Linked DNA regions of Yarrowia lipolytica. The protein of the gene in region 1 interacts with the protein of each later gene in a pairwise test. Links are inferred from orthologs where the notes say so. Each region holds a gene or a part of one and is shown in the gene's direction. Other genes may lie near its edges.

Region 1 (5,362 bases):
GTGTGTGTGAACCAGCAGCGTTTTGCTTCGCCAAAGCGTCTTTTGATTCTATTGTAGCCAGTTACTCACTCTTTGCTCTGTCTCAGTCCGCTCAGGTGAGGCTCTGAAACCAGCATGTGAATTGTTTCAGCGTCAATGATGATATATCGTGCCGGTTGTGTGGAGAAGAAAGATCGACATTGTCATCATCACCAAACCGTGAAAAGTGAACCCCAGTATCTCAAGGGACTTGGACTGTTACACTTGTACCCTACTTGTAGCCATGGTAAGTGGTATCTGAAGTCCCCGTTCAGGCAGACTAGAATAATCACCAGAATCCACATATTGTGCTTGCTTTTTCGGATCTCGTGATGAACGTCAAGCCATAAACCGTATCGAAGTGTTTACTCCTGTTGGGGAAACGTGATCGACTCGGGAATGTACGATGGCCAAGCATAGTTGCAAAGTAATGACGCTGCAGAGCACTGAGTCGCAGGTATCAACGTGTCACTGAATCACAAGAGAATCTCCACGAGTAAAAGTAGGTACTACTTTGTAGTACATGCGATACTCGACCGTGCAAAAACACAGTGCTACAGTCTGAATACCGTGCAGTATCACAATGTTGAACCTCGGGAGGGCCGCTGTTACTTCCCTGGTTACACATGAGACGCCAACACATCGGGTCGAGCAGTCCCTAGGGCAATTTTATCGTTGGTTCTATGTTTTTTTCCCGTCAGACACCTTCGTTTCTTCTTTGGTCTGAACATTGCTAGTGGCTGTTAGTGACACCCGTTGATTCCCACGGGTCCCAGAAGTTTCAAACAGGTACCATATCTGACTCATTGAAACAGATAGGGTAGTATCATCCTTACGATCAATCTAGAGAACTCACAAGGTCACATGTCCGGCGTACGGTACAACTGTTGTGTATGTACAGGGACATGATCGACCGAATGTCAAGTATGTACTCGTACGGGTAGAACAGAGAATGAGGAACTTGGTAGAAGCACAATGTACAAATACTTACAAGTTATATATCCGAGTTTTACAAGTATTTGCTTCCATTTTTACTGATTCATTCGCAAAATCACGTGTTTCTCAAATTGTATAAGCACTTTTACACACATATAACGAGCCTCGTATACCCTGTATGTACTGTACAGGGTACGAAGAGGTGACAAAGCAATCATTTGGAAACACAGGAGCCACCCCCGAATCCAGCTCATGTAAATACAAACCCATATATAGAGCAGAATTTCTGTTTTTCACTTCTCTCGGGGGATGTCACTGTTTGTCAACTTAAGATGCACTATCGCGGTTCATCTCTCAAAAAGATTTTTCAAGAAATACAAAAAAAAAAATCATAAAAAAGATTATAAGTTTGTTATAGCTGTAATTATTTTTTCTTGCTGTATTTATTCTCATATCAGGTCTTTCAAATCGCTACTTGCCGTCCTTCTCCATTCATAACCTCTGAAAATAATTTAAGGTTCATGCACGACTGAAAAAAATATCTGAAGGTTGATTTTGATGCAGGATATTTTTCTCTCCACCACGACAGCACTACACATCGATAATGTCACTGGAAACATCGTCGTTTTCCAATTTGGCCGACAAAATCAAGGCCAAGTTGGACACGGCCAACGATAAAAACTCCAAGAAAAAGGACGCCAAGAATGCCGTCAAGGCTGAGAACAAGGCTAAGAACGATGCCCGAGAGGCCAAGAAGAAGGAGCATGAGCAGCGCAAGAAGGAGGAGGCTGAAGCCATGAAGAAGAAGGCCAAGAACTTCAACAAATCCAAGTTCGGCAAGAAGGAGGAAGAGAAGGTCACTGAGGTAAAGCCCTCGAAGACCAAGGGATCTGACAAGACCGAGAAGAGTAAGGGGTCCAGGACCAAGAGCCAGGACTCCAGCTCGGACAAGTCGACCAAGACCAAGACCAAGGAATTCAAGCCTGATTCTCTGCTGGCCGAGATCCTGGAGCTCGGAGGAACCGAAGAGGATCTCAAACTCGTGGAGGACCTGTCTGATGGAGAGGATGATGTGGTTGTGAACCCTTCAAACGGCTCCAAGATTGATTCTGGAGATCTGCTCAAGTTCATGAAGGACATTGGACTCGATGGAGACGTTCCTCAACTCGTCGAGGATGTCAAGGATGAGGACGTTGAGGAGGAACAAGAGGAGGACGATGATGAGGGGATGGAGGATGACGAGGATGAGGACACAGAGGAGGACGATGAAGAATCCGAGTCTGACTCTGACGACGAGCCTGCTCCCGCTAAGCCTATCATTTCTACTGGCCCTTCTGCCAAGGAGAAGCTTATTGAGGCCATGTCTCTCCCCCAGGACATCAAGACTCCCACTGCCGTGCCTCCTCGTCCTGATTGGTACAACCATCAGATTGACGTGCCTGAGACCCTCGAACCCATTTCAGAGACTGACGTCGAGTCATTGAAGGATCAGGGTATGAAGCTGCTCAAGCAGGATCAAGACACATACAAGGGCAACCAGCAATCGTCGCAACAAACGTTCATGCAGCAGATGCTCACTTCCGGTACTCTGAGTGATAAGATTTCCACTTACACCCTGCTTATCCACGACTCTCCTCTGCACAATCTCAAGTCGTTCGAACAGCTCATGTACCTTTGTAAGAAGAAGGGCAGAACCTCTGCTCTCCAGGGTCTGGAGGCTCTGAAGGACCTGTTTATCAACGCTGGTGTTCTTCCTGATCGAAAACTAAGATGGTTCAAGAACCAGCCTGTCCAGAAAAACTCGGCACCTGAGTACCTCGCCATCTGGGCTTTTGAAGACTGGCTCAAGACCCAGTACTTTGAGCTGCTTCAGATCATGGAGGGAATTTCGCACGACACTGTCACCCATCTGCGGTCTTCGGTGGTAGCCCACATTGTCGACCTTCTCAAGGCCAAGCCTGAGCAGGAAGTCAACTTGCTCCGACTGGCTGTCAACAAGCTGGGTGACAAGGATACCGTTGTCTGCTCTCAGACGTCATACCACCTGCTTCAGCTCATGCAGGCCCACCCTGCCATGAAGGGTATTGTAATCAACTCCATCTGGGAGCTTGTTTTCCGACCCGGCTCTGACTACCATTCCCAGTACTACTCTGCCATCACCCTCAACCAGAGTATTCTTACATCAAGGGACACTGATCTGGCCAACACTCTTGTCACCAACTACTTCCTGTTGTTTGAGAAGGTGCTAAAGGAGAACGAGGCCGATTTCGACAAGGATCTCACAAAGAAGGACGCTAAGGATACCAAGGGCAAGCATAAGTCGCGTCACAACGCCGGCAAGGGTAAGAAGGGAGGTGTCAAGCAGCAGCAGAAGACTGTCGAGACACAGAAGGACGAAGCTAACCAGAAACTCATCTCTGCTATTCTCTCTGGCCTGAACCGAGCGTTCCCCTTTTCTAATCTGACAGAGGCTGAGTTTTCTAAGCACATTGACTCCCTTTTCAGAATTACTCACTCTGCCAACTTCGGTACAGCCATCCAGGCTCTGTCTCTCTTGTTCCAAGTGTGCCAGGACGCTCAAAAGGATCGATATTACCGAACTCTCTACGAGTCCCTCCTTGATCCCCGTCTTGTTGATTCTTCCAAGCAGGGACTATACCTCAACCTGCTGTTCAAAAGTATCAAGGCTGACACCAACGTTCAGCGAGTCCAGGCCTTTGCTAAGCGAATGGTGCAAGTTGCTCTTGGATGGCTCAAGACTGGCTCAGTAGTCGGTATGGTTTACCTTCTGGGAGAAGTGAGAAAGATCTCTGGCGGTGTGGAGGCCCTCTCCAACGTTTCTACCGGCCTCGAGGAGTTTACAGATGTCAAGGAGGAGGAAGATGATGGACTCATGGTCAACATTGATACCTCTAAAAAGTCGGTGGATAGCGGCGAGTCTCAGACCCACAAGGAGGACTCTTACGATGGAAAGAAGCGTGACCCCTTGTTCGCAAACGCTAACACCACCTCTCTCTACGAGCTTCAGTTCCTTCTGAGACACTACCACCCTTCGGTGACTGCCTACGCCGAAAACTACGTCAACAGAGGCGAGTCTCTGGCCAAGCCCGATCTTGATCTGCATTCTCTGGCCCACTTCCTCGACAAGTTCGTCTACCGAAACCCCAAGCAGCAGCAGAAGCTCAAGGGTAACTCTATCATGCAGCCTCTGGCTGGTGGAGCTGCTGCCAACAACCTGTTGGTCGGACTCAAGGGCTCCAACACTGCCCAGCCCGTCAACGTTCAGGAGTGGAAGGATCGAAACAAGGACAAGGTTGCCCCCGAGGATGTCTTCTTCTATAACTACTTCCAGCCTAAGCAGCTTAAGGAGGAGACCAAGAAGCTGTCCAAGGAGGATGAGTACCAGGATATCGGAGGTGATTCTGAACTTGACGACGACGAAGTTTGGGATGCTATGGTGAAATCCCAACCCGACATTGATCCCGAAGAAGACGACATCGATATGGACATGGACGACTTCTCTGATGACCCTGAGCTCGACAAGATTGATGGTGAGCTCGAGGAGGGAGATTTCTCCGACTTCTCCGATTCTGATCTGGAGGAGGAGAAGTCCGAGTCTGAGAAGCCCTCTAAGAAGGACGAGGCCGCCTTCTTCGAAGAAGCTGAAGACGAGGATGAGGAAGGTGCTGCTGACTCTGATGATGAGCCTGCTCTAGACTTCTCTGACGATGAGGATAACCTCATTGCTTCTGACGACGAGGTCACTCTCAAGCGAAAGGCCGGTGATGATGGAGACAAGAAGCAGAAGAAGAAGAAGTTTTCCGACCTGCCTACTTTCGGCTCCATGGACGACTACGCTCAGTACCTGCAATCCGATGATGAGGACTTTTCTTAGAGGGTGTATGAAAATAGATTATGGTAATAGATTGTTTTATGTGAGCTGCTGTTTGTATAACTTGGCGACCAAAGAGTCTGGAATCTCCAGATGGTTCTGGGATCACACGTTTCCAGACAACCAGACAACCAGACAACCGGTTCGGTCTGTTACCTTCCAGGTCTGAAGTGATCTGGACTTTACACTTGTATGTGTAGATACATACCATTTTACGAATGTACATACTACTGTACAGTAAGAGTTGAAATTGTACGGATAATCCAGTTATATTTATCCAACAATGTTTATAAAATCGTCAAAAATCAGAAATAATCTAACAAAATCGGAGAAGAAAAAGAGGAAGCATGTTCCGCACTACAAAAGCTTGCAATATAATTCTAATAAGTGTATATACAAACGTACTTGTACAAGTACGCTTTGACAAGGCATGGCCATTCTGATACAACGGATCAGGCGCCGATATCAATGGGAGGCTCATTCAATCCCTTTTCTGACGTTTACTTGGGGCTTGTC
Region 2 (4,823 bases), on another chromosome or scaffold:
TCCAGGGGGACCAGACAGCAGAACAGCACGATAAATGCCAAATCCATCTTTTCCAGGCTGCTTGAATCCATGTTTGGCATTGTCGTGCCAGTTGTTGAGCCAGTTTTGTAGCTTGGTCACCGCTCCCTTGTTTCCGCAAACGTGATTCAGGTTGTTGGGGGCGTATTTGACTGTCCACAGCTGGTCATCCATAGACACAGCCCGAGGGGCTCCAGAAGCGTCCGCCTTCTTGGATGCAGCTTTCTCCTTCTTTTCTCGCGCCGCCATCTCAGCAGCCATCTTTGCGCTCTCAGCAGCAATCTTGTCGGCCTCTTCTGCCTGCTTAGCTAGCGCCTTTTCAGCAGCAGCACCCCCTCCACCGTCAGCAGGCATGAGTCTGAGCAGTTCCAAGAAACCAGCTTCATCCAGAGCCTTGGTTCTGAGCTTCTTGATCTGCTCAATCTTCTTGGGTCCGGCATCTTCTCCCAGAACAACACAGTTGGTCTTACCAGAAATGGAAGAAGTGACCTTACCTCCGTACTTTTTGACTGCGGCCTGACCCTCTTCTCGCGACAAGTTGGGCATGGTGCCAGTGAAAACGAACGTGAGGCCCACCAGACAGTTTTCGGCCGCCTCAGGAAGCTCCACTGCTCCTCCTCCTTCTCCACTTCCAGTGGCCGTGTTCTTGGCCAGATGCTCTCGGAAGTTGAACTTCTTCCCCTCCTCGACCTCGGGAAGCTCGGCGTCGGGTAATTGCGCTAGTACAGACTCTGCTGTAGCCCCTCCAGGTGCGGATCGAGCATTGGGGGCGGCCGTTGGAGCAGCCTTGGGCTTGGGGGCAGCCTTTTTAGGAGCACGCTTGATTTGCTCGAGATCGTCGTCATCGAGATCGTCATAGTCAATGATTGGGCCCTTATTTGATACGCTTGCCTTGGGAGGTGGCTTCTTGACCACATTGTCGTCCTCATCAATCTCAATCACATCGTCATCCTTGACTGGCCCCGATCGTCGTGTTCGTCGCTGCACAGGTTTCACGGGCAAATCATCGTCGTCCACAAACCCGTCGTCGCTGTCCATATCTATCTCATAAGGGGCCTCTCCATCTTCGCTGTCAGAATCGTCAATCTGGATTGTCCGCTTTTTGGGAGCAGGTTTGGCAGGAGACTTGGTCTTAGCAGTGGGATTGGGCTTTGCGGGAATCTTTGGCTTGACGGGCGACTTCTCGGGCTCGGAATTAATCTCCTGTTTGACCTCCTGTTTGACCTTTTTGGGCTTTCTCTCTTCGTCCACAGACGTGGTGGCTGGCCGTTTCTATGTTAGTGGTTTTTGCGTGAATCAAAACAGATGGGCAGTGCAATTGGTACTCACGTCATTGGACTTGGCCGGCGCCTTGGTCTTTTGGGCTCCAAAGAAACTGCGGATATCTTTGGGAGGCATTTTTTTTGCACTGCGTTCCAGTGGTGATAAATGGAAAGCTTCGTGTTGACGCGTTTTGCAGTGCTGCGGTTGGGAGAGGCGAAAGAAGAGGCAGGGGAGTAATTACAACAGAGAGGTTACTGTATATTGTGACTACAATAAGTGATGAAAAATAATCACAGGTAAGAGGTTGTTGAAGCAGTTTATCTATGCAATTTAATGATCGTGAAATGAGTTGTTCTTGTATTGTGGGCAATTATTGTACCCACATGCTGGCTTGCTGCGTGTGATGGCAGGTGGACTTCGTAAGGTGAACAATGTAATAACAGATTAAAGAACAGATTTGGATTATATGACTATTAGTGATCAATTGTAATGGCTTGATGGTCATAAAATCTGTTCACATTGACACTTCAGCCAAGATTCATCAAGTTATAACCCTCTACAGTATGTACTCGTACTTCTACTGCAACACTCACTCCCTCACCCTCCTCCTAACGTCAATCACATGACTGTGCGTCATTAATGCATCCAGAGTTTATTGGAAAAATATGTCCATGCAGAAATAAATTATCCACCCTATTTCAAACCAGCACGCAAATAACACACACAAAAATGGTCAAGGGAAAAGTGACCAAACCGGTCAAGAAGGCTACTAAGTCCAAACAATCGGCTGCCATGATTTCCAAAGTAAAGGACGACTTTGTCATGACTCTAGATTCCGACGGTGAAGATCTGGAGGAGGAGAGTGCAGACGAGAAGGAAGAGGTGGAGGAGAAGCCTGTCAAGCTGACAAAGAAGCAGAAGAAGCAAAAACTCAGTGAAGCCGACGAGGAGCTACTGGAGCGAGAAAAGCAGGCTGCCAAGGCCGGCATCAACCCCGACTTCCAGTTTTCGCTGGACGGATTTGCTGCCACCTCTGAAGGTCTGGACGGCTGGAACTTTGAGGTGTCCAAGGACGACAACAAGGTCCAGAAGCGAGAAGTTGATTTGGACAGCATTATCAAGAGAAAAGGAGGCCTTCTGGACGAGGACGAGGACGAGGACGAGGCCGAGACAGACGTTAAGATGGAGGAGAACGAAGATGATCTGGCCATTGATGGTTTCGGAGGAGGAGTCCAGCCCGGAAAGGACATGGATGAGCCTGAGGACGAGGACGAGGAGAACAAAGAAGAGGTTGAGAATGAAGAGGAGGAGGACTCTGATGGAAGCGACTCCGAGGCTGAGGAGTGTATGCACCCCGATGATTTGGTTTTGGATGACCATAAAGGCCCTGCCATCGACGAGGGACCCCAGGACACTGCCGAGGAGATGGCTGCATTCTACGCTCCCGAGGAGGAGAACAACGATAAGACTGAGTCTGTGCACAAAACCTTTCAGACTCTGAATCTGTCTAGACCCGTCATGAAGGGTATTTCTGCTCTGGGATACCAGGCCCCCACTCCGATTCAGAGCAGAACCATCCCCATTGCTCTCATGGGCAAGGATCTGGTTGCTGGTGCCGTCACTGGTTCTGGTAAGACTGCTGCGTACATCATTCCTGTTTTGGAGCGTCTTCTCTACAAGTCCTCCAAGGTCGCAGCCACTAAGGTTGTGGTTCTGACTCCCACTCGAGAGCTGTCCATTCAGGTCGCCGATGTTGGTAAGAAGCTCGCACAGTATGTTTCTGGCGTGCGATTCGGTCTGGCTGTCGGTGGTCTGAACCTTCGAGTTCAGGAGCAGGAGCTCAAGACGCGACCCGAGGTTGTCATTGCTACCCCCGGTCGATTTATTGATCATGTTCGAAACTCTCCCTCGTTCAACGTTGACGATGTCGAGATTCTGGTGATTGATGAGGCTGATCGAATGCTGGAGGAGGGTTTCCAACAGGAACTGACCGAGATTCTGACACTGCTTCCCAAGAAGCGTCAGACTCTGCTTTTCTCTGCCACTATGAATTCGTCCATTTCGTCGCTTATTCAGCTGTCTCTTTCTCGGCCCGTTCGAGTCATGATCAACCCTCCCAAGCAGGCCGCTTCTGGTCTGGTGCAAGAGTTTGTTCGAATCCGTAAGCGAGACCATCTCAAGCCCGCTCTGCTGGCCTCCATCCTCAAGAAGATGGACAAGGAGCAGCGAACCATTATTTTCGTGGCCCGAAAAGAGACTGCGCATCGTCTTCGAATCATGCTGGGTCTGCTCGGAGTCCGAATTGGAGAACTGCACGGAGCTCTGTCTCAGGAGCAGCGTCTGCAGTCCATCACAGCATTCAAAAAACTGGAGGTGCCCATTCTGGTCTGTACCGATCTGGCTTCCCGAGGTCTGGATATCCCCAAGATCGAGTGTGTCGTCAACTACGACATGCCCCAGACCCATGCTGTCTACCTGCATCGAGTTGGACGAACTGCTCGAGCAGGACGAGAAGGTCGATCCATCACTCTGGTCGGGGAGGCTGCTGCTGACAGAGCCATTGTCCGCGAGGCTATCAAGTCTGTATCTGAGAGTAAACAGGGCAAGGCCGTGGGCCGAAACGTGGACTGGCCTGAGGTCGAGAAGCTATACTCCAAGATCGAGGAGAAGGGTGACATTGTCAACGAGATTCTGGCTGAGGAGAAGGAGGAGAAGGCCATGCTGCAGGCCGAGATGGAGGTGCGAAAGGGAGAGAACCTTCTCAAGTACGAGAAGGAGATTGCATCCCGACCTCGGCGAACTTGGTTCCAGAATGCCCAAGAGAAGAAGGCTGATGAGACCTCGGACAAACGAAATCTACTAGCCAGCAACAAGGACAAGATGAAGAAGAAGAAAGACAACGAGGAGGTCCGAATGTACAAGAAGACCAAGACCGATCGAAAGGAGGCCTCTAAGCGAGGTAAGCCCAAGGGAAAGGGTAAGCGAAAGTGAAGAAAAGGATGGTATATAGTTGAATTTATTGTATAGATATGCAGTCCGCAGTAATGTGTATTGTCTCGATGTTTGAAGAACCCCAAAACAATGGGAGTCTGTGCTTTTTGTTTCCTGTCCTATACAACCATACTGTTGACGTTTACAGCAGACAAATTGAGCCCTTTGCGGGTATTAATACTGTAGATGGACTGGAGTCTCAGCTCCGATTTCCAGCAATATGAAAAATCAAAAGGTAGGCATGGGCCTACAATATGTAGTATTACTCTTAGAGAATTTGGGATGGTAGAAGCTGGACAGCCATCTCCAGCAGGTATTGACCTGAAGTATAACTTAAGCCGACAGTCTACTGTACATACTCTGGATGACCTTTCAAAATAATGTCATTCAACGCACCACCATAGGCTTATACAAGACGAGAACGCAAATAAACACAGAAGACATGAGGTTTAACCCTGACGTCATTACATAGGATCGAATTAAACATAGTAGAAGGCGTCAGAAGCCTCAGCCCACATCGGAAGGGCTCCCACTCGGGAACACTCGACGTT
Region 3 (5,676 bases), on another chromosome or scaffold:
TCAACCTCCAATCTGAGGGATACAGTCGTGAGCGCCAGAGATTGGACTATGAAAATGTGGAGCATCAAGCAGAAAATGCACTCGTGTGCTAAAGAGAAGAAGAAGCATCCACACTCACATTCTCTGACACAAAGTGATACATACATTCGTTCTGGAGAGAGAGTGAGGGTGTGGAAGCTTCCTGAAAAGGATAGGCATGTAGAATACAGCAGTGCCTGTGCACATTTTGCGGGCTGTAAGAATTCTCTCAGAGCAACTGACATCCATGGAGATACCCTTGTGCGGATTCTTGTACAACAGTGCGTGTAGGGATCCTGACTAACCCGGAGAGTGCCAATATGTGCTTGAAGGACATTAAAAGCGTGCGTACGATGTTGCTCATGTCCTCATTACTGTAGAGGTGTATGTTACTCGGGGTTTCCTTATGGGGTTATTCAGAAGTGGAACTTGGACTCTGGCACTTGTTTGTCAGTGCTGGAAGGCTGTAAGCGCATGGTTAATCTGCTGTGTCACGACGAATCCCTGGGTTCGGCATCAATTCATTTCAAAACTGGTGTTTAGAATCCAGGAATCTGGAGAGCTTGTCTACATCAGAGTCCATGGAATATCGTGCATTAGATAACATTAGATTAGTTCCCGTGGAAGAAGTATTCAGTGGTCCTCCGCAGAGGAACTGTCTCGGTCAATTTGGGCAAGGAAGTAGTTTCTCAGCCACTTGTTGTAGTGTCCAACGTCAACGCGGAATATGATAGGCTGTTTGTCGGTATCATAACGAGTCTGATTTATTTAATCGACTGTTACTCAACTATAGGGTTGAATTGAAGATCATGGGTGTTGATGAATTGAAAATGACTTCATGAGAACATGAGCACAGGAGCGTCTGAATGAACAGAAGAGGTCGGACTCCTCAGCACAAGATACAACACAGCACGCACCTGGAGGGACACAGCATATGGTCTCCTTTAATGGATTGACCCCAACACTGTTACACTGGACTTGTCGAAAGAACATTGCTTAACCACATCTCGTGTCTTGCCACTATTTTTCGAAATCGTGTACAGTGAACTTCTTATTTGGTGGCTCTGTGCGTGGGTATGAAGAGATTGTATATAAATATATCAACATTTAATTTGTATAATATAATTTTGTATAATATAATTTTATTATAATATATTGTATAATATTTGCAGTATATTCGATAATATTGGACTGTAATTGTGACTTGTACAGAGGCATGTCCCCTTACAGCAGAAGTTCACCCCCAACACTCCCATTGCAGTGTCAATCTAGAATTTGACATTTTCTATTTCTTTTTTAAAAAAAGGAATAGCCGAGAATCGAAGTGAGTGACACCGCAACCATAATGCCACAGTGGAGACACGATATTGGAATGCCAACAAGTTAAGACTACTACAAATGTAATATACACCAGAATACCATCTCGTATTACCCCAGAAATCTCCCCAAACAGCCCACACCACTATCCACCTCTTCTCCCACCAACCTGATAAACTCGCAGTGCATCAACTCTAATATTTTTTTCAAGTCTTCTGCAAAGTGACAATTGCAGTTGCACGCACCATCTACAAATGTCCGAACTCGACCATACGGAACCGCTGGAGGACAAGCTGGACCGGATCCGCGTCCATGTCAACTCCAAGCTGGCCAACCAGAAACAGTTGGCCATTATTTTGGGAGCCGTGGAGGAGAATCTCGAGGAGGAAAAGACCGAGAAGACCGCCACCTCCTACTTCATTTCTTTCCTTGCTCTGCTAGAGCAATCGTTCAGCCGCCAGGCCCCCGATCAGCTCGAGAATACCGATCTAGCCGCCTCGGCTCTCTATTTCCTCGACCTTGTGTCTCCCTTCGCCAGCGAATCTCTTCTGCGGGCCAAGTTTTCGCAGATTTTCGTCAAGCTCGCACCCGTGTTGGGCTCGTCCGATTCCGAGTCTGCGCTACTCAGATCCGCCATTGGCACTCTGCAGCATCTGCTGCTGGCCCAGGATGCTGCCTCGTGGCAGACCCCTGCTTCTGAGCTGTCTCCCCGACGAGGAGTGGTTGGTCTGATGCATCTGGCCGTCAATCCCCGTCCCAAGATCAGAAAGCGAGCTCTGGACGCACTTGCCAAGATCCTCGAGACCCGAGTATCTCCAGTGCTCGTCGAGCATCCTGCTGCCGCAACCTGTGCCGACACAGCCCTGAAGGCCGTCAAGCAGTACCTGGAGAACCACAAGAAGGAGGATACCGTGGATGCCGGCTTCATGCATGCGCTGGCTCTGGTGAAAACCATCTGTGGCGTTGGAATGTGGCCTATGTCGCAGTTTGACGAACTCTGTCAGCTGCTGCTGTCTATTTCCAAGACTACCAACCAGATGCTGATCCAGGCTACCTTTGGCATCTTTGAGGGTGTCTTTCGTCACTTTGCCAAGTCTGAAGAGGACGAGAACAACAAGACACGAAAATTGCTGGTTATTCTCGATGCTGTGATCGACCAGGCTCCCGCCACCAACGACCAGCATCTTGCTCCTGCCTGGTTTGCTGTTGTTGCCCAGGGAGTGGGTGCTCTTGGAGAGGTCAACCCTGATAAGGGACTGGCCAAGACCCCCGTGGTTTTCCAGAAGGTATGTGCCTATCTCGACTCTGAGGCCGACAGTGTGCGAACCTCTGCTTCCCAGTGTCTCGTTGCTCTGTGTTCTTCCATCAACCAAAAGTCGCTTCAGAACGGCGACAAGTGGCTGTCCAAGCTCGCGGAGATGGCCACGATGCTTCTGTCCGTCCAGACCCGGGCTTCTCTCGTCGACTCTACGAACGTTGTGGCAGCTCTACTCGACACTCTCAGATGGAAGTCCGACCCCTTCCTTGTGGAGGCTGTGACAATTATTGGAGGTCTCCGAACTGAGGAGTCCTTCGTTAACGGCATTCCTGCTCTCGACAACGCTCTTGGGTCCGCTATTCGTGCCATGGGACCTGCCAAAGTGCTAGAACTGCTCCCCCTCAACCTTTCAAACCCCTCTTCTGACAACCCCGGACGAGCCTGGATGCTCCCTCTACTGAGAGACAACATTCACAATTCAGAGATTGCCTTTTTTAAGAGCGAGTTCTTGCCACTGATCGAGTATTTTGACGACAAGATCTCGACTACCAAGGGCGCCACCGCAAAGGTCTTCGAGGCTCTGCTGGCCCAGGTCTGGTCCGTTCTGCCCCGTTTCTGCGCTCTGCCCATGGATCTCCAGCAGTCGTTTGACCAGTCTTTTGCCGAGCTGCTCTCCAACAAGCTCTATTCCAACATTGAGATCCGACCTGTTATCTGCCAGTCGCTGCGTCTGCTTGTCGAGAGCAATGTGGTGTACGCCGAGGAGCCCGAGGCTGCTGAGTCCGAGGATGTGAACGACGACCTGCTGCTTCTGGAGCGATTCCCCCGATCCGAGGCCGAGTCTAACGTTGCCTACCTCGGAACCGTGTCTTCCAAGATTCTTGCGGTGCTCTTCAACGTGTACGGACAAACTATTCCCGAGTCTCGAGGCTTCATTCTCGAGTGCATCAACGCCTACCTCGGCATCACCCCCGCCGGCGAAATTGGCGACATCTTCGATAACGTGTGTGGAATGCTTCACAAGGCTCTGGAGGATGAGGCCAAGGAGTCTAAGCCTGAGAAGGACGCCCTGCCAGCAATGTCGCTCACCATGCTTGACATTCTCATCGCCCTCGTGCCTTACATCCCTGCCTCTTCTCACAACACTCTGCTGACCGTCTTTGTGCAGATGATCCAGAACTCCGACCCCAACCACCAAAAGAAGGGCTACCGTCTTTTGACCCGTCTGGCCGAGGCCGACAACAGCTTCGAGACTCTGGAGAAGCATCTTGACAACATCTGTGGTGTTGTTCTCGAGTCTGCTGAGTCTGTCACTGCTGTGTCTCGAGGCGCTCGAGTGGCCGCTCTGGCGAAGCTGGTGGCTCTGCTGCCCGAGAACGATCTGTATTTCATCCCCGCTACCGTCTCTGAAGCCGTCATTGCCACCAAGGACGTCAACGAGAAGACCCGAACGTCCGCTTACAACTTACTGGTTCTCATGGGCGAAAAGATGGCTCGAGGAGGAGTAATTGACAACACTCGAATCCCCGGTCTCGAGGATGCCGGTCTGGGATCCGTCAACGCCAACCTGACTGAGTTCTTCAAGGCCGTGTCTGCTGGTCTGGCAGGAACCTCACCCAACCTGGTGTCTGCCACCATCACGGGTCTGTCCCGAATCTTGTTCGAGTTCAAGGACGACGTGCCCATGGATATGCTCAGCGAGCTGTCTCAAACCGTTGAGCTGTTCCTGACCTCGCAGAACAGAGAGATCGTCAAGTCGACTCTTGGTTTCGTCAAGATTACGGCCATCTCTCTCCCCATCGATCTCGTGGAGCCCCAGCTCAGCGAGCTTCTCCCAAAGCTGCTGCACTGGTCCCACGAACATAAGGGCCATTTCAAGGCCAAGGTCAAGCACATTGTCGAGCGTCTGATCCGACGGTTCGGCTTCGACACCATTGAAAAGCATTTCCCCGAGGCCGACAAGAAGCTGCTGACCAACATCCGAAAGTCTAAGGAGCGATCCAAGCGAAAGCGAACCGAGGAGAAGGAGGAAGATGCTCCCATGTCGTCTACCAAGCCCAAGAAGGAGTTTGCCTCTGAGTACGAGCGAGCTCTGTACGGAGACTCGGATTCTGAAGACGAGGATGACTATGAGGAGGAGGAGACCACCAAGCGGGCCTCCAAGTACATTATGAAGTCCGACGACCCTCTGGATCTGCTGTCGCAGCAGGCTCTGGCTCACATCACTTCTTCCAAGCCTAGAGGAAAGAAGGAGCCTCTTCTCAAATCGTCCAAGTTCAAGACTAATGAGTCCGGTAAGATGATCTTTAAGGAGGATGAGGAGGAGGACGTGATTCCCCAGGGCTCGGCCATCGACCATTACGTTGAGGCCATCAAGAACGGACCTGTGCGAGGACAGAAGAACAAGTACAAGTATAAGAAGTCAAAGGGAGGAGATGACGACGGAGGAGATGATGACGACGTGGTGCCCAAGCGACCCACCAAAAAGTTTTCTCGAGGTGGCGTGAGCAAACCCAAGGGCAAACCTCAGCAGCGACGAAAGTTTTAATTGAATTGTATTATTGAATGGTTATGAATATATACGGAGATGGTGTACAATATGTAGTGTAGAAGGACTGGGAACTTGACGTAGACATGGTCTGGAAACTTACTGAGAAGCTGATTCCTACACCTGTCGGGGGAGATATTCGTAAAGCCTCGAGGCATACAAAAGTATCGGTACTGTACAGTACATCAAATACCAGTAGTGTGCACACAGAACTTATCGATCCGTTTGCACAGGCACTGCAAGAAGTCGATTTTTTTTTTATTCTAATGATTCGTGTGTATCGTTATTGAGTCTTTGCGACATCGGGGAGTTGAAGTTTGGAGTAGGGGTATGGTTGTTATGTTTTTGAGGTTTTTTTTTTTTTTAGTTTAGTTTTTTTTTTTTTTTTTCTAATGATTTCTTCGTTTTTTCAGAAGTTTTGAAACTACACAGAACCACCCACCTACATCTCAATAAAAAACTTGGGCGTCTGGTGTAAGGACCAAAGTCGCTTATAAGGGCTTGGGGACGGTGCCGGGTCACGTCAAGGGTGACT
Region 4 (3,132 bases), on another chromosome or scaffold:
TGTTGCTCAACAGGCCGGCCTTTGTGTCTCGCAGAGTCCAGTAGTTGAGAGCAGCCTCGTCCTTATCTCGAAGAGAGAGGCCAATGAGACGGCCCGAGGACAGAGACAGCACCAGCGTGACATCGTCCATGCGGTTCACGTGCTCAATCACCTCACCACTGTATAGCTTAATCTGGGTCTCCACCTGCTGTCGTGTTCGCAGGTACCCTTCAGCAGCTGCACCTCCCACTGACTCCCAGAAGACACACAAACCAGAATTGACACCCACTAGCACCAGACCGGGATGTCCAACGTCCTTGAAACTCGGCGTCACGGGGATCAGGTGACCCAGAGCATTATCCTGGACTCCCAGACTATGTGTAAAGGTCTCTGGGGTCGGCTCAGGAGATGTGTACTTCCACACATGTGCCTTGTTCCCCACAACCACCAGCCCAAAGTCGTCAGATAGCGATGAGCTCACATGCTCACCGGAATCAAAAGCAATCTCCACTCCTGATAGATCGGGTCTTGCTGCCAATCGCGTCACATTGTACATGGCCGTGCGGGTGATTTCGGAGCCATAATCCGCCAGACTGTCCTCCACAGCCGACAGGTTGGTGAACGACTTTTCCGTCACATCGTCGTTGAAGAGCGTCGCAGGCACAACTCGGTTGAGTTCTTGCTGCACCGCTTTTTGCCGCAGCTTTCGAATATTGCCAATTTGCGACATGGATGGATGTGTCTGTGTTTGTGTTTGGATCTTTTTGTGCAACTCTCAATTGCCTGCATTAGGGTTAGGGTCTACCAGGAGGTGGATTATGTTGTGGAATGATGGTTGTCGTAATTGCACAAAGAACCAACTACAATGGACTTTTAAACCCTTGATAGTGCCGTCACGGCGACTCCTGTTATTGTTTTGTGTCTTTGGACGCTCTATTGTCTCGTTCTTCTTGCAAATACTACCCTAAGTAAAATACCAACTAATACGAGGTTCACAACAAAGGATTAACAAAATTGACACAACCTACGGGCCAACTAATAGTCAAGTAGGCCCTCAACAACATTCTCGCTCTTTCTGAAACCAACAACATCAACTGGGAACCAGGAAAGTAAAGATATAGCTATATATCAGTTATTAACTCGTCAATTAATACGACCAGATTGGATTATACATTTTACTATCGTATGTGATTGTAACATCACCATCATTCTTAACAAAATCCTCAACCCTTTTCAATCAAGTTGGTGGTTGATAGAAACTAAAGCTGTAATAGATACTATACCCAACTCATACCTTCATCTCATATACATATGCTCGCTACAAATTATTTCTCCCAATCCTCTTGTTTGCCACTCACAATAGTGGCGATGATTAGTAAACTGATCTCAGTAGGTTTTCAATAGTAAGACACCCAAAAGTAGCCATTGACGTACGAAAAGTGTGCGTGTTTTTTTGAAAATTAGGTGTCACATGACCATAATAATCACTTTTCATATCACGTGACCAAATCATCTCGCACAGTCGTCCAAACACCTCCGTCTACTGACATTTCTACTACTCCATCTTATCAGGGTAAGGGCAACCGTAACTGTAAAAAATTTATGCAGGCGGTGAAATTTTCGCCTACGCAGACATTACACCGAACCACAGTTACAGGTACAGCAAGAAAATATGTTGCGACAAGTGAAACCGAAAAACGCTCGGGCCAAGCGAGCCGTCGATGCCAAGGAGCCCAAGATTGTCGAGAACACAAAGCAGGCGCTGTTTGTGCCCGGCCAGACCTCCAACCAGCTTCTTCACGATGCCATGGTGGATCTTTGTGCTCTCAAGCTGCCCGATGGCAAGCGATTCAACAAGAAGAACGAAATCAACCCCTTTGAGGATGTGTCCTCGTTGGAATTCTTCTCGGAAAAAAACGACACATCTCTGCTGGTCTTTTCGTCGTCTAACAAGAAGCGACCCAACAACCTGACCTGGATCCGAACGTTTGGATACCAGCTCTTCGACATGATCGAGCTGCAGATTGTCAACCACCGACTGTTACGAGATTTCAAGGCCCAGACTGTGGGTGTGGGTCTCAAGCCCATGTTTACCTTCAACGGTACCGGCTTTGAAACCGACCCTGTTCTGATGCATGTCAAGTCTCTGTTTCTGGACTTCTTCCGAGGCGATACCACCGATCTGCAGGATGCTGCCGGTCTGCAATATATCATTTCAATCTCTGCCGGCGAGGTGCAGGAAGACAAGCCTCTGCCTCTGATCAACTTCCGAGTTTACAAGATCCGATCTTTCCGATCTGGCCAGAAGCTTCCTCGAATCGAGCTGCAAGAAATCGGCCCCCGATTCGACTTCAAGATTGGCCGACGACAGGCTGCTGCTCCTGACGTGGAGAAGGAGGCTCTGCGAGTGCCTGAGCAGCTGCGACAGAAGACCAAGAAGAACGTGGAGGTGGACAACATGGGTGACAAGATTGGCCGAGTCCACGTGGGTAAGCAGGATCTGGGCAAGCTGCAGACCCGTAAGATGAAGGGTCTCAAGAAGAAGTACGACCAGGTCGAGGACGACGAGGAAGCCGATGACGAGGTGGTCACCACCAAGAAGGCCCGAGTGGAAGAGGAGGAGTATTTTAATGAGTAATTGATAGAATGCATTTTAATGATAACCGTTTGTGTAGCCACGTGAACAAACTCCAAATTTTTTCATCAAACAAAAGAGATTGCGTATTCCGTTCGATTCATCAAGGGTAGATATCTATTTAATTTTTAGTATTAGTATTATATTAGATTGTTTCGTATGTCACGATACCAGAAAACATTCTGAAACTGTCTTCCATGTGGTTTTTATCGAACTGATGTCAAAAGGAGAAAAAACGACCAGTAGAGTCGTCTTCCAACCAACCACGGCGTCAATAAAAAGTGATTTATAGATGGATATGTATCTTTTTAAATGAATTGAGATGTTCTCAGACAAGTATAAATACACGGCAAGTGCAGTATTACCTGAACATAATTACAAAAGATCAAGCGTCTACAACTACAAACTCTCTACGACTCAAATATTCGGGTGGGACTCTTTGGTCCATGATTTATTACCCAAGAGGTTCGGATTTTCACCTACTCCTCTCAAACTAGATAAACAGGTTCGGTCAGTTA

The links.
Region 2: the proteins of YALI1_D18770g (region 1) and YALI1_B22015g interact in binary tests that used the Saccharomyces cerevisiae proteins (3 or more experiments, as listed by UniProt). The link is inferred for Yarrowia lipolytica from reciprocal best matches to the Saccharomyces cerevisiae genes MAK21 and DRS1.
Region 3: the proteins of YALI1_D18770g (region 1) and YALI1_E08828g interact in binary tests that used the Saccharomyces cerevisiae proteins (3 or more experiments, as listed by UniProt). The link is inferred for Yarrowia lipolytica from reciprocal best matches to the Saccharomyces cerevisiae genes MAK21 and RRP12.
Region 4: the proteins of YALI1_D18770g (region 1) and YALI1_A04119g interact in binary tests that used the Saccharomyces cerevisiae proteins (3 or more experiments, as listed by UniProt). The link is inferred for Yarrowia lipolytica from reciprocal best matches to the Saccharomyces cerevisiae genes MAK21 and RPF2.

What each region holds. Positions count from the first base shown.
Region 1 is NC_090773.1:1,875,493-1,880,854, forward strand, and holds YALI1_D18770g (uncharacterized protein), read left to right. Parts: upstream 1-1,558; coding exon 1,559-4,849; downstream 4,850-5,362.
Region 2 is NC_090771.1:2,198,691-2,203,513, reverse strand, and holds YALI1_B22015g (uncharacterized protein), read left to right. Parts: upstream 1-1,920; coding exon 1,921-4,272; downstream 4,273-4,823. Other genes in the region: YALI1_B22020g (uncharacterized protein), read right to left, coding at 1-1,290, 1,348-1,416; YALI1_B21966g (uncharacterized protein), read right to left, coding at 4,752-4,823. UniProt on the Saccharomyces cerevisiae protein: ATP-binding RNA helicase involved in ribosome assembly.
Region 3 is NC_090774.1:878,784-884,459, reverse strand, and holds YALI1_E08828g (uncharacterized protein), read left to right. Parts: upstream 1-1,589; coding exon 1,590-5,141; downstream 5,142-5,676. UniProt on the Saccharomyces cerevisiae protein: In association with GSP1, required for nuclear export of both pre-40S and pre-60S ribosomal subunits. Required for the late maturation of the 18S and 5.8S rRNA of the pre-40S ribosomes and for maturation of the 25S and 5.8S rRNA of the pre-60S ribosomes.
Region 4 is NC_090770.1:410,273-413,404, forward strand, and holds YALI1_A04119g (uncharacterized protein), read left to right. Parts: upstream 1-1,651; coding exon 1,652-2,617; downstream 2,618-3,132. Other genes in the region: YALI1_A04109g (uncharacterized protein), read right to left, coding at 1-709. UniProt on the Saccharomyces cerevisiae protein: Required for biogenesis of the 60S ribosomal subunit.